2 linked regions of the Arabidopsis thaliana genome follow. The protein of the gene in region 2 interacts with the protein of the main gene of each other region in a pairwise test. Each region holds a gene or a part of one and is shown on either strand. Other genes may lie near its edges.

Region 1 (5,694 bases), on a different chromosome or scaffold from region 2:
CGATGACTGCATTAATTTTCACAAGGTTAATCATAAACCATTTTTTGTCTTGCCTTTCATAAGAAAGATACTATGCTTCAGCTGAATCCGACTTTCCGGTTTTTGCTTAAACGCAGACGATCTCTGTAGCAATCATTAGTGCAATGCTTCTTCATGCAACCAGCCACCTCGCCTGTGACTTCCCAAGGATTCTAGCATCTACTGATACAGATTACAAAAGATACTTGGTTAAGTACTTTGGTGTGACCAGACCCACATACTTTGGTTTGGTGAATACTCCTGTGGGAATCACTGGAATTATAATGGTTGCTTTTATGTTAATTGCATTCACATTAGCCAGTAGAAGATGCAGGCGGAACTTAACTAAGTTGCCGAAGCCATTTGACAAACTAACCGGATATAATGCCTTCTGGTATTCACATCACTTACTTCTAACTGTTTACGTCCTTTTAGTCATCCACGGTGTTTCCCTCTATCTCGAGCATAAATGGTACCGCAAAACGGTACATTCCATAAACTCTTTACCATTTTACTTTTTGCATGCTTACATAATTGGCTGTGGTAACAATAACATATACTGCATCCTACAGGTATGGATGTATCTTGCTGTACCAGTTTTACTCTATGTTGGTGAGAGGATCTTTAGATTTTTCCGTTCCAGGCTTTACACAGTCGAAATCTGTAAGGTAAAATCTCACTTACAGTTACATTTTGAACTGAATTACATGAAAAGACACATTGTCAATCATCTACTATTATCTCTATACCAACTCAAATGATTTGGTTTCAGGTTGTAATTTATCCCGGAAACGTTGTTGTGCTACGCATGTCTAAGCCTACATCATTTGATTACAAGAGTGGACAATATGTATTTGTTCAGTGTCCATCAGTATCAAAATTTGAGTGGTGAGTGTTTTATAGGGAACCAAAACAAGCCTAATAGCTTTCCTTGCAATCCTAGAACATATACAAACTCTGTTCTTTGACACCACAAAGACTAACTTAAAGATTCTCGGTCCTAAACTCCATCTCCAGGCATCCATTTTCTATTACTTCTTCCCCTGGAGATGATTATCTCAGCATTCACATTCGTCAGCGCGGTGATTGGACAGAAGGGATTAAGAAGGCATTCTCAGTGGTATGTCATGCCCCTGAAGCTGGAAAAAGCGGACTTCTCAGAGCAGATGTACCAAACCAAAGAAGGTGCATAAAATTCTTTAAAATTCAATATATTATTCTCAGAATGTGAATTTTGATACTCTCTCTTGTAATATAGTTTTCCAGAGCTGTTGATAGATGGACCTTATGGCGCTCCAGCGCAAGACCATTGGAAGTATGATGTGGTATTACTGGTTGGCCTTGGAATCGGCGCAACACCTTTCGTTAGCATTTTGAGAGATCTACTCAATAACATTATTAAGCAACAGGAACAAGCTGTGAGTATAACAAGCTTAAAAACCTTGTTGATGAGTAACAGAATCTCAACTAAACTTTTTTGGAGTTATGTTATATTCTCAGGAATGCATCTCAGGTAGTTGTAGTAACAGCAACATCTCGTCGGATCACAGTTTCAGTTGCTTAAACTCAGAAGCTGCGAGTCGGATTCCGCAAACTCAACGGAAGACGCTGAATACCAAGAATGCTTACTTTTACTGGGTAACACGAGAACAAGGCTCGTTCGATTGGTTCAAAGAAATCATGAACGAGATTGCTGATTCAGATAGAAAGGTAAAAACAATACACTTATTCATTTTAAATTCAAAAGATTGTATGATTTCAAGTTACTCACTGACGTATTTGTCTTGTGAACAACTACAAGGGTGTTATTGAGATGCACAACTACTTGACTAGCGTCTACGAAGAAGGAGATACTCGATCCAATCTTCTCACTATGATCCAAACGTTAAACCATGCCAAAAATGGCGTCGACATTTTTTCAGGAACCAAGGTAATGATCTTTAATGATTAGTTGATTACTTTATCACAAACAACACTCTTTTCTGATCTTGTATAACAACTTTTGGTTATTTTAGGTAAGGACACATTTTGGGAGGCCAAAATGGAAGAAAGTTTTATCAAAGATTAGCACCAAACATAGGAACGCAAGAATTGGTAACACACAGAAACATCAGTTCACTGAAATGATATTCGATATCGCGGTGTATATTTGCCTTGTCTGAAGAATGTTTTTTTGTTTGTTACAGGAGTGTTCTATTGTGGAGTTCCAAGTTTGGGGAAGGAACTTTCAACACTCTGCCATGAATTTAACCAGACGGGAATTACCAGGTTCGATTTCCACAAAGAACAGTTCTAACTGGTAAAAGGATTAATCCCCCACGATTATGGTTTTTTGAATGAATGAATCAATGTTCATGTTCGTTCTCGTATCCTACTTGTTGTGTTTTCTTTTCGTTTTGTGTATCACAAATACCAACTTTTAACCATTTCATCTAGAGTAGGACTGTTAAAAAATGTAAAAAGTCACAGTTAAAGCTTGTGAAGAAAAAAAGAGTGTAAAGGAGTAAAAATGAGAAATTCAAACAAAGGGGGATGATGGGATCATTGGGATGATTGGTTCTGTCTGTTCAATTGTTTTCAAATTTGAGCACTTATTATTGGGCCTGTCTTTGAGCTCTCTTATTATTATGGGCCGATAACTAGTTTGGCCCATTTGGTTATCAACTTGAAAATGAATGAAGAAAGCTGGGGAAAAGGGTCTTTTTAAACCCGAACTGACTCAAAAGCCTCAAAAATTTCACTGTTCCTTGGTTCTTGACCGGTTTAGAATCATGGTTTCGGTTTTGAATCATATTTGCTTTCTTGGACATGAGAAAGTAACTGGGCTTCATCATTGTTTTAGCTCATTGGGCCCATATTACGACTCGAGCTAACGCTGTCAAGTTAAATGCTTTTTCACTTTCTAGAGCATTCTTTTTTAAACACTTCTTTTAACCAAGAGACGGTTCCTACTTCTCTAATATTTTTATTTTCTAGTTTTTTGGCCAGCAGCAAAATATTATTTTAATTTAGTGTCAAGATAATTAAATTATCATTGTCTTTTGAATGCAGACCGAAAGTACATGAGTCACATAAGCAAGCGGCTACGATTCAACCACGTGTCACATGACCACCGGTTCGACCGTTTCTTTGTCCAGCCGCGTGACACCTGAACCAGAAAAGTTTAATAGCCATTTTAATAACAGAGCCGTTAATTACACGTGACTTAAAAAGCCGTTATCCTTAACAGCGTTAACATCTCGGTCCTGTGAAAACACTTTTTATATGTCCCCACGACATTTATCTTTTCCTAAGCATCGCTCTAGTTAAGGAAGCAGCAGGTTTGGATCCGAACCAACCAACGGATCAGATCAGAAACAAAATATTCAACGGCTCAGATTTATTCTAATTTTCCTCCTTTTATTGTTGGTTTTTTCATTCGACTTCGAGATCTTTCTTCTCAGAGGTGTAACGAAAACGCTAGAACAATAACTTTGATCGTTCTTCTTCTTCTCTTGAATCGGAAACAATGGCGGATGAACATAAGCATGAAGAATCTTCACCTAATTTGGATCCAGCAGTGGAGGTTGTAGAGAGGGAATCGTTGATGGAGAAGTTATCGGAGAAGATCCATCACAAAGGTGATTCGTCGTCTTCATCATCATCAGATGACGAAAACGAGAAGAAGTCTTCGTCATCGTCTCCAAAGTCTTTGAAATCGAAGGTTTATCGTTTGTTCGGAAGAGAGAGACCTGTTCATAAGGTTCTCGGCGGCGGAAAACGTATGTTTACTCTGATCCCGTTTCGATATTTGTTCTCAGTTTTTTAAAACGAATTCGTTTGCGTTGGCTTGATCTGTTTGATTTTCTCACTAGTTTAAGGGATCCGTGAAGAAGATCGTTTGAATCTACATAGAGGTTTACATTGATTTGAATTCGATTTCGATTTTGATTTCTGACTAGTTTGAGAGAATTTGTGATGGAATTGATTTTTTTTTTTTTGGAAATGTGTATAATGATCTTGTGAGATTCTTGTAGTTATTGATGATATGGTTCTTATTTCGTGATTGATAAACCCTAATTTGGTGATCTTTTTAATTGCAGCGGCAGATATATTTATGTGGAAGGACAAGAAAATGTCAGGAGGTGTATTTGGCGGTGCTACAGTGGCATGGGTGCTATTTGAATTGATGGAGTATCATCTTCTTACTCTGTTATGTCACGTTATGATCGTTGCTCTTGCTGTGTTGTTTCTATGGTCTAATGCCACTATGTTCATTCACAAGTAAGTTTTGTGGTCAATCATATGAAACAGGTCAAGGTTGTCAAGCTTATTTGACTCATCTTCGTTACCAAATTTTCATTCTCTTTCAGGTCTCCACCAAAGATTCCTGAAGTTCATATCCCTGAAGAACCTCTTCTTCAGCTTGCTTCGGGTCTTAGAATCGAAATCAACCGTGGGATCTCTTCTCTTCGTGAGATTGCGTCGGGGAGGGATATCAAGAAGTTCCTCTCTGTATGTTTAAACTGTCCTGGACTTACTCGTTACTCCTCTCTCGATGTCTCACTTAAGTTTGACACTTATTGTACTGTTTGATTGAATTAGGCTATTGCCGGATTGTGGGTTCTATCGATCTTGGGCGGCTGCTATAGTTTCTTGACATTGGCATACATAGGTAACACTTACTGTTGCTAAAAGTATTTTGCTTCTGCCTTCTCTCTTATTCTGACATTGCTGATGAACGGTTATTGATTTGGTCCAGCTCTGGTTCTGCTCTTCACTGTTCCTCTTTTCTACGACAAGTACGAAGACAAAGTAGACTCATACGGTGAGAAAGCAATGGCTGAGTTGAAGAAGCAATACGCTGTGTTGGACGCAAAGGTATTCAGCAAAATCCCAAGAGGACCGTTGAAAGACAAGAAGAAGGATTAGTTTTTTTTGGGGTTTTTGTTTTGTGTGGGTTTTCTTTGGAGTGCAATGTGCACAATGCTCTGGTTTTTATACACGTGGGTTGTGTTGTGTTGTGAATTGGTAATCTAAAAGGTTATGTGTTAGATCTCAACCCAAATTTTACTTGACAACTTTGCTTTGTTTTTGGAGTGGTTTGTGGCATTAGCACAATGATTGTAGTCGTTCTCTTGATCTATATTTTTAATGTACTGATTGATTTCTGTGTTTCTAATATGGTACGTTACTCAAATATCGTTTTTTCTCGATTATATATTTGTAGTATGTCTTGATATCAAACAAGTCAGGATGGCCGAGTGGTCTAAGGCGCCAGACTCAAGTTCTGGTCCTCGTAAGAGGGCGTGGGTTCAAACCCCACTTCTGACAATTTAGATTTTTATTTTCTCTGAGCTCATTTTTTAAGTGTTTGTTACTTTATTTGTCCAAAAAATAAAAATATAACATGTTTGTATATTTACTGGTTATATATATGTAATAAGTATGAATATTAACAAATGTCAGTATGGCCGAGTGGTCTAAGGCGCCAGACTTAAGTTCTGGTCCTCTTACGAGGGCGTGGGTTCAAACCCCACTGCTGACAATTTATATTTTTGTTAATTTTAAATTATAATTACCTTCTTTTTTCTTTCCTTTATACTATGTTTTCTCATTTAACCATGTTTTTGTTTTTTCTTAAACGGTCTTATGTTTCTCAGGTAACAATCAGCTAAATAAGTAACTAGTTAAAAG
Region 2 (8,310 bases):
TTTGAAAGTTTTGTGAGGCAGAACATATCTGAAGCGGAAGTTGATATCAACCCAAGTATTAAGCAGTTTGTGTGGAGTAATTATGGGTTTCCAACCAAAAGCAGCACAGGCTTTGTATATGCTGATGGCTCACTAGCACTATTCAATAAACTGGTAATTTGTTGTGCTCAAGAAGGTGGAACGCTTTGTTTACCTGCTGGTACAAATGGAAATTATGTTGCTGCTGCCAAATTTTTAAAAGCTAATGTCGTGAATATCCCTACCGAGTCTAGTGATGGCTTTAAGCTGACAGAAAAGACTCTAACGAAAGCACTCGAGTCTGTGAAGAAGCCGTGGGTTTGTATATCTGGACCAACGGTTAGCCCTACAGGCTTGGTGTACAGCAATGAGGAGATGGATATACTGTTGTCTACTTGTGCTAAGTTTGGAGCAAAGGTCATCATCGATACTTCATTCTCGGGATTAGAATACAGTGCAACTAGCTGGGATTTGAAGAACGCTTTGTCGAAAATGGATTCTTCCTTATCAGTTTCGCTGCTTGGATGTCTCTCTTTGAATTTGCTCAGTGGAGCTATTAAACTCGGGTTTCTAGTTTTGGATCAGTCTCTCATCGATGCCTTCCATACCCTCCCAGGCCTGAGCAAACCGCACAGCACTGTGAAATATGCCGCTAAGAAAATGTTGGCTTTGAAGGAAGAGAAAGCAAGTGACTTTCTGGATGCCGTTTCTGAAACCATTAAAACCTTGGAAGGCAGATCCAGACGCTTAAAAGAGGTACTCATTTCTGCCTATACTCCCTTTTGCATTATCATCAGAGCTCAGATTGTCTTAGATTGTTTGCAAATAACAAATGAATATTTCAAATGGTTAAAGCTGTGGGAAAGGCTTTAGTGGTACCGCTCAGGTCTTTTTGAATCTCATGTTGTTAACAATATTGCAGCAGAGGGGTAAATGGAGTAAATGTTGATCGCATAATCGCATGATGTTAGGTTGTTGATCTTCCTTTTTAAATTATTGGAACAGGTACTACAGAACTCTGGTTGGGAGGTTATCCAACCCTCAGCTGGAATCTCAATGGTGGCAAAGCCAAAAGCTTATCTCAACAAAAAAGTAAAGCTGAAAGCAGGAGATGGACAGGAAATCGTCGAGCTTACGGATTCAAATATGAGGGATGTGTTCCTCAGCCATACCGGTGTTTGCTTAAACAGCGGTTCCTGGACTGGAATCCCTGGTTACTGCCGGTTTTCATTTGCATTGGAAGATAGTGAGTTTGACAAGGCTATTGAATCGATAGCTCAGTTTAAAAGCGTCCTTGCTAACTGAAACGTGCCAGTTTCATTTACGATGTCATCAACTTGAACTAAAGGGCATTGTGCATTGCTGGTTCTGAGACTTAACACGTCGCTCTTCTTCTGCGTTCCTTTGTTCTGTTGTTTCTAAATAACTCGCTTCCCGTTTCTTGGTCAGCCCCATAACGGGTTTACTTTTTGGAAGTATGATATTTTCATGCTAATAAAGGAGTCATAAAACTTTGAATAAGTCTTATATTTTAATGTGAATAAGTCTCCTTGTTTCTATGATGTTTTTTTCTTTTATGTTCGATCTTGGGCTCTCTATGATGTTCCAGAAAAAAAGAATGTGTTCCAGAAAAGATATCAAATAAGTATCTCAAAATGAATCCAAAGCTAAATGGTTTTTGACACCTCTACCAATTCATACATTCTAGATCTGGTACTATGTATGTTTCGTGAACCCAAAGTTTCTGACTTTCTGTTTATGAACCTGTGTAACAATCATGATGTGAGAATTGGTACACAAAGAAGATTCATCTGTTAAATTACACCAGTGGCATTCTCACAATTTACAAAAGCTACATATCGTTCTATTTTTTACAGCCTGGTTAATAAAACGTGTACCAACCAAAACCTGTTTTTTTCTTCATGAAACCAAGACAGCAAAATTTAGAGTGTGACAGTGAAATAACTATAAAAGCCGATTCAGGTCGATGACCAGTCTCAACAGGCGATGTTTACTCCCCCTCCTTCACATGACATAACCTAGCCCGGCCAGGATTAAGCAGAGATTCTGACATTCTCCAACCCTATCAAAATGGAATTTTCAGATGCACACTCGATTAAATAACTTAAAAAGGATATAACAGGTTTCTCCCAAGTTACCTGTTCTGCAGCCCTGCTTTTGAAGACGCCATATGATGTGGAAACCATTTCACACGACTCAGCAATACGAGACTCGAGCTCATATTCCGTAGGAGCAAACGCAGGATCTAATTGCTCCACCGATCTTGGGTTACCATCTTTTGATTGATTCATGAAATGAAGAAGCACATGTGCCTGTGATATATGATCATGTAACCGAATGAGAAAATTTAGGCCAAAATTACTTCGTCTCAACAGAATAGTAATTAAACAGATACAAAATCATCCTACATGAAATGCTGCTTTGAGAATGTCATCTGAGTTAGCCTGATGTTTGAGCAGTGCATAGACTTTACCCTTGGTAGGGCTGTACGTTACCATGTATCTTTCTTTCTGCCATTAGTAAAGAGAATAAAGTCAATTACAGTATCAAGATAAAGCGGTCAAGGCTTGATATTAAGGGAAAAAACACATACATCGAAAAAAGGCTTTACAGCCATATACGTGCTGGGGTCTTGGAATGCATCCTTAAATCTGGCTCCTGTCAAATTGTATGAAAAACCTAATCAGTAAGGGTAATGAAAAAGGAATATAATTTATATGGAATGCTTGATAACACATACCAAGCATCACTGGCCGATCATCCACCCATGGAAAAGTGAATATCTTTTCTTGGATATTACCTTCCTGCAATGAGGGAACCCGCCCTGCAGATAGATGGAAAGTTCAATCTGTGAAGTTTGAATATGACAAACCTCAAAAGGGGTGGGAAATCAGAGCTCTAGGAGCACACTCAAGTGCATGCTAGCAAAGTGACATAGCTTACCCGTCTTAAGAAAGGACTCCACTGCTACTGTAAATCTAGCACGGTTTAGTGTATGCAATACTACAGATCTAACCTGTAAAGGACACAGCCACGTTTTTTGAGCAATAAATCAAGAGAACCCCAAGTACATAAAAAGAGATATACTTGAAACAGAGCTGGATTCTACCTCTTGGTACGAGCTCATGAGATAGCCACATGATAGAAGACCAAATGTTGTGACCAACGAAGGATTTCTTTTTGATATCAGGATGCTAAACCCAGTTCCCATCTTCACATAGAAAATAATAAAAACAAATGAAAATTTTAGAGCTCAAAAAGAGATCAAACAGAATCTATTTCGACCCTTAAGCAACAAGTAGCAAACTAGCAATGTAGCCACCTTTAGTTCAAATTTAATTCCGCTTGACAGATTAAACCAACAAAACACCCAAGAAACAATGAAAACTAATGTTGAAAAAGGGTCATACCAGATCTGCAATATTACCAACACACTCTCCTTTAGCAGTTACGTCTCCTATGTTTTCTCCTTTAGCAAAGGCTTTATAGATCGGTGTACGAGTAGACGTTGATGTTACTGCTGCAACATTCTGTGATAAAACAAATGATTGATACAAAAACAAAAATCAAAGACCAACAATAACATTGAAATCGAATAGCAATTATGAGTGATAAAAGATGATAAAACTACCTTAACAACATTAGCAGCACAAGCCAGTGGAAGAAAAAGATGTGGAACTGCAGCCGTCGCCAACTCTACACCAGCACCGAGCTCCATCAATAGATCACCAGCAAACCGTAACTGCAAGCCAAAGTGAGTTTAAACGTGAGAGAGAGAGTCAACCATCGCATTTGTTAAGTAATGGAATAAGTACCTGTTTCAAATCATAATCAAATTTCTTTCCCTGCCTCGCAAAAAGCATTTTCCCAACACGCCCAGCACCATCCTACAAGAATTACATTGATATTCAACAATGAGTGAGTAAGCCATGTTTTAAAGGATTGTTATACATGCATGATGCATGAAAGGATATACGAGAAAGGAAAACCTTGAGAATCCAATTGATGGCAACAGCAGCAGAAGCAGAACTGTTTCTTGAAGCTCCAACAGAATTAAGAAGAGTTTGAGTAGTAAACACACCCATAGCTCCACCAAAGAAATGCTACACAGTCAAAAAGATCAATCATTTACACTGAATTCTAAAAAAAAACTTTTAGAGAGTAACGAAACATACTTTCAAAGCTCTCCAAGTCATATAAGGAACATAAGACTCATTAACACTCCCAGGAAAGCCTTCAGGTACAACGTAAGATCTAAGAAACGAACCCACTTCCTGTAACAAATCACCAAAAACAAAAATTGAACACATTTCACATATTTAGGAAAATTCAAAAAAAGAGTTCATCAATGGAACAAGGCATACATCAAAAGGAGTCTGAGGAGACTCCAAGCTAATAGCACGAACTGAATTCTTCTTGAATCTCCCAGAACCATCGCTCTCAGCGACATACTTAAACCGACGGCCATCGATTTCTTCGCAACAGATCAATCTCAGAGTCGAATGAAGAAATTGAGAATCTGGAGGTGGAGGAGAGTGAGGAGGGAGATCATCAACGGGAGGAGAAGCGAGAGAGGCGCTGATTCGGAGAGTTTCACGGGAAAGGAGACGGACGGAGTCGGAGGCAATAGTGTCAGGTGGAGAATGGTGTGTGAGCTTGACGCTTGGCATTGTTGTTGTTGTAAATCTAATGAAGGATCGATGAAGAAGGGATTTTAATGGAGTGTCTCTCCGGCGGAGGAAACGAGGGAAGCTCTGTAGAAGAAGAAGCGAAACCAGTTGTTCCACAAACAAATTCACCTCCAATATTTTATTATTATATTTATCTCTTCTTTTATTCTTTTTAGTCCCACAGTGTATATCTGACAAAATAAAATAAAAATTCTGATCAAACTAGACATTTAAAATACTTTAAGTTACTTTCTCACCAAAAAAATAAAATATTTTAAGCTACATAATAGAAATAATCTATTGAATAAATTGTTGTGTTTTGCACCCTGATAATTCGATTTTTGTAACGAGGCAAATTTTGTTAATTAAATATCAGATTCAGCTCATAACATGTGAATGGTAAGTAAGCTGAAATCAAAATGTTCAGTAATGTAGTCTGATTGTGCCTCCTCCCACGTGATTATAGACTACTATCACTTGGAATTATCATTGGAAAAGTCATTACCTGAAATCTACCATAGAGCTATCAACATCACATCTTCCTTGCCATGTTTTATACATTCTGAGGCTCCGAATGGTGACTGCGTTTTGCGGTGCGGAAGAAGTGCGGTGCGGTTCAAATAGGAACGAAAATACATAGATACATATGTATATGTAAAGATTTTGATACTGTTACAGCACTGTTGCGATACGGTTTTGGTTACCATTCACAGCCTGAGTATCACCACCTACTTTTGTTTGTCATCTGTCAAAACATGAATCTCAAACATGTAGAGAAGCAAAGGAGGTGTTTGCATCAATGGCGAGGGATGACTCTAGCATCTCTAAGCCTCATTCGCGAATGATTATTGCCTTATCGGGCATGCGTGGCCAAATTACCAAGCCTTTAAGGGTCCATGTGGTAGGTAACCGTCCTTACCCATTATTCAAACTTTTGTACATCCCAAGATCCGACCCACCGTACCAAGAATTAGACTAGGAGTTTACACAACACGATTTACTTAAAACTAATTTACGCTATGAACTACATGATTCGAGTAGGAAATACAAAAAGTGAATCGTAAGATATCTCATTCAAGTTTGCTACATCTGATCCAATACCAAAACAGAAAGAGAGTGTATCATAGAGAAGAAAGATCAACACTCTCTTCAATATTTTAACCCAAAGAATGCATCCATTGAGAGAGAGAGAGGACCAATACAAGAAAACAAACATGTCAACTCAACAACATTTACACGCCCCCAAAATCATCTCATCAACAACTGGAGACTCTACAAAATAGAAAGCTTTTGGAAAAGCAGAGCTGAAAAGAGAAGATCAAAAGTTATTGACCATTCACCTTCTTAACAAATGTAAGATGGGTTTGGTTTCAATAGCTGCCATGAGATCTCGCTGATGAAACAGACTGAGCTGACACTGAAGCAGTCGGACTGTGGACATCCCCGTTGTTGCCCTTTGTCTTGCCACTCAATCTTTCCATCGCATCCACACATATGTCATTGAACCAATCGTCTTCTGGCAGCTCACTGCACATCATTCACAACCACATTTTAATCATTTATACTTACCATAAAGGCTAAAACATTGCAAAACACCCTCAAAACCGATGTACCTATATGGATCTATCCCTGTTGCGGTGAAAGCTGCTAAGGCTTTAGATATTATCTCATTAGTTCCCCTGTGCAAATTCCTCGATAGGTAGCGACCTTGGGATGCAAAGCATATGACAAACTTCATGTCCAAATACAGCTGTGACAGATGCAGGTTGTTTGTTAACAAAGGTACACAACAATTTCGATGCTCGCTGAATATACATATACAGAAGCAAGAATGAGTGTACAAACCTGCCGTAGGCCAAGAGGTCCCAAAGGTCGAGGACCTTCCTCAATGTCATCCCAAAAGCTCTGGTCTCCAGAAAGCCATAAGATCACAGTCTCTGTTAATCGCATCAACAAAGATATGGCGAATCTTTCTCTTCCTACAAACATATCTGCTGCTAGACTTGCCATCCTGTTAAGTTTGGCAAAAAGTTCCTGTTTTCCAACGACGCAACACCCAAAGTATAAGAATATTAAGCTAAAAAAGACAGAAAAAAATCATGTTCTTGAAGTGGACAGTAGACTATGACAAACATGGATTCAACTCTACAGTATCCAATCTGCCGATAAGAGTTCCCAAGTGACTACACATCTGGGTACAGTACTTCATAAAGGCTAACTGGACTGATGGAAATGAAACAACAACTACCTGGAATATCAGAGATGGAAAGAAGTCCACATCCTCGCCATTTTCATCTATGTTTACGTACATATCCGCAGACAGATGGCTATCTCCTTCCTCAGTAAAAATGAGATCCAAGGCATGCTGGCGACAAAACGCATCTTTTAACTTGTCAACAGTACTAAGTAAACGCCTCTTCCATTCTCGTTGTTCAGGATTACGATTTTGTCTGTCCAAAGGTCTCCTTAGGTCGTCTGTCCTCTGACCAGTCTGATCAAGAGAGAGTTTCATGGCAGCACGTGGAAGTAATTCATCCGCTAGCAATGATGCATTTGCGAGTAATGCAAGTTGGTTTGCCTCCGTCTCAGCCATTTGGACAATCTTATTACATGAACTTTCAAAATTTGGATCTTCTTCTTCTATCGAACCAGGAAGTGCTCTTACCAGCACATCTACATATGAGTTAAACACCCGAAACAGACCTTCCAGAGCTTTACTTCCCAATTGCATACTTAGCAGAGGTCCTACGTCCTCAAAGAAGTCCTGCAACAAAATACCATTATCAAAAGGATCTACTTGACAAATACATCCAAAGTTCATGACAGTCCACTTGGGAATCCTCTGCCTATCAGAGCAGCTAAGACAGAATTGGTACTGCCTAGAGTTTATAATAACTTTTCAGTGGGAACGCGAGTGCAAGTTCTAATCAATCGTCATCAACGATGGCTAGTCAATTTTACAGCTGATGTGTAAACTCATATTATAAGCAATTTTCATGGGATACTGGCATATCTAAGAGACACACCAGACGTCTAAGAGTGAAAAATATTTCATTTTTCTAGGCATGTCTGCATTTCCTAAGCACTTTATTTTTCTAGCACAACTTTAGAAAAAGGCTGAAAATTTCGGAGAAAAGTGTTTGTCAAGATAGTCTACCTGGACCATGAGATTAAACCGGTGGGCACTGGATGTAAGCTTATTCTGAAATGCTGTACTAGCATGACGACTACCAGCAGGAGGACTTGTCAGTACCCAATCATCTGCAGCAGCCATAGCTGCAGTGTTTTCTTCAATTCGCTTAAGATTTGCCTCCAATGCCTGTTCCACAATAGGCTTAAAGTGCTTTAAAAGCACTGGGCAAAGGGACAAACCACGAGCTTCCAACAAAGAACAATGCCCAAGAGCTATCTGTGCACACTCTGCGGCAGCTCTTAGTCCTCCCGCTGCTGCAGAAGAAGCTAATGCATGCCTTTTAACAAGAAGGGAAAACGCCTCTGTTTGCTTAGTAGCCCAAGTCACAAGTTCAGAACTATATGCTGGCTCTTTCCCAAAGATTCCCAATGAGTCACTAGAAGCTTGAGAGATAGCTGAGAACACAAG

Evidence for each region. The genes of interacting proteins can lie anywhere in the genome.
Region 1: the proteins of RUS6 (region 2) and BTI2 interact in a two-hybrid assay, tested with the Arabidopsis thaliana proteins (one large-scale study listed by BioGRID).

Annotation. Positions count from the first base shown.
Region 1 is NC_003075.7:6,837,411-6,843,104, reverse strand, and holds BTI2 (VIRB2-interacting protein 2), read left to right. Parts: upstream 1-3,068; 5' UTR 3,069-3,526; coding exon 3,527-3,779; intron 3,780-4,100; coding exon 4,101-4,281; intron 4,282-4,370; coding exon 4,371-4,512; intron 4,513-4,602; coding exon 4,603-4,672; intron 4,673-4,759; coding exon 4,760-4,929; 3' UTR 4,930-5,194; downstream 5,195-5,694. Other genes in the region: AT4G11230 (Riboflavin synthase-like superfamily protein), read left to right, coding at 1-25, 117-503, 591-686, 791-906, 1,036-1,203, 1,277-1,436, 1,519-1,728, 1,820-1,948 and 2 more.
Region 2 is NC_003076.8:20,244,724-20,253,033, forward strand, and holds RUS6 (root UVB sensitive protein (Protein of unknown function, DUF647)), read right to left. Parts: upstream 4,900-8,310; 5' UTR 4,710-4,899; coding exon 4,404-4,709; intron 4,314-4,403; coding exon 4,215-4,313; intron 4,143-4,214; coding exon 4,029-4,142; intron 3,927-4,028; coding exon 3,855-3,926; intron 3,782-3,854; coding exon 3,671-3,781; intron 3,570-3,670; coding exon 3,450-3,569; intron 3,251-3,449; coding exon 3,149-3,250; intron 3,056-3,148; coding exon 2,983-3,055; intron 2,864-2,982; coding exon 2,780-2,863; intron 2,698-2,779; coding exon 2,633-2,697; intron 2,550-2,632; coding exon 2,448-2,549; intron 2,352-2,447; coding exon 2,178-2,351; intron 2,102-2,177; coding exon 2,030-2,101; 3' UTR 1,668-2,029; downstream 1-1,667. Other genes in the region: MMT (methionine S-methyltransferase), read left to right, coding at 1-774, 1,024-1,323; EXO84B (exocyst complex component 84B), read right to left, coding at 6,080-6,236, 6,323-6,459, 6,555-6,743, 6,958-7,473, 7,867-8,310. UniProt on the Arabidopsis thaliana protein: Required for normal embryo development.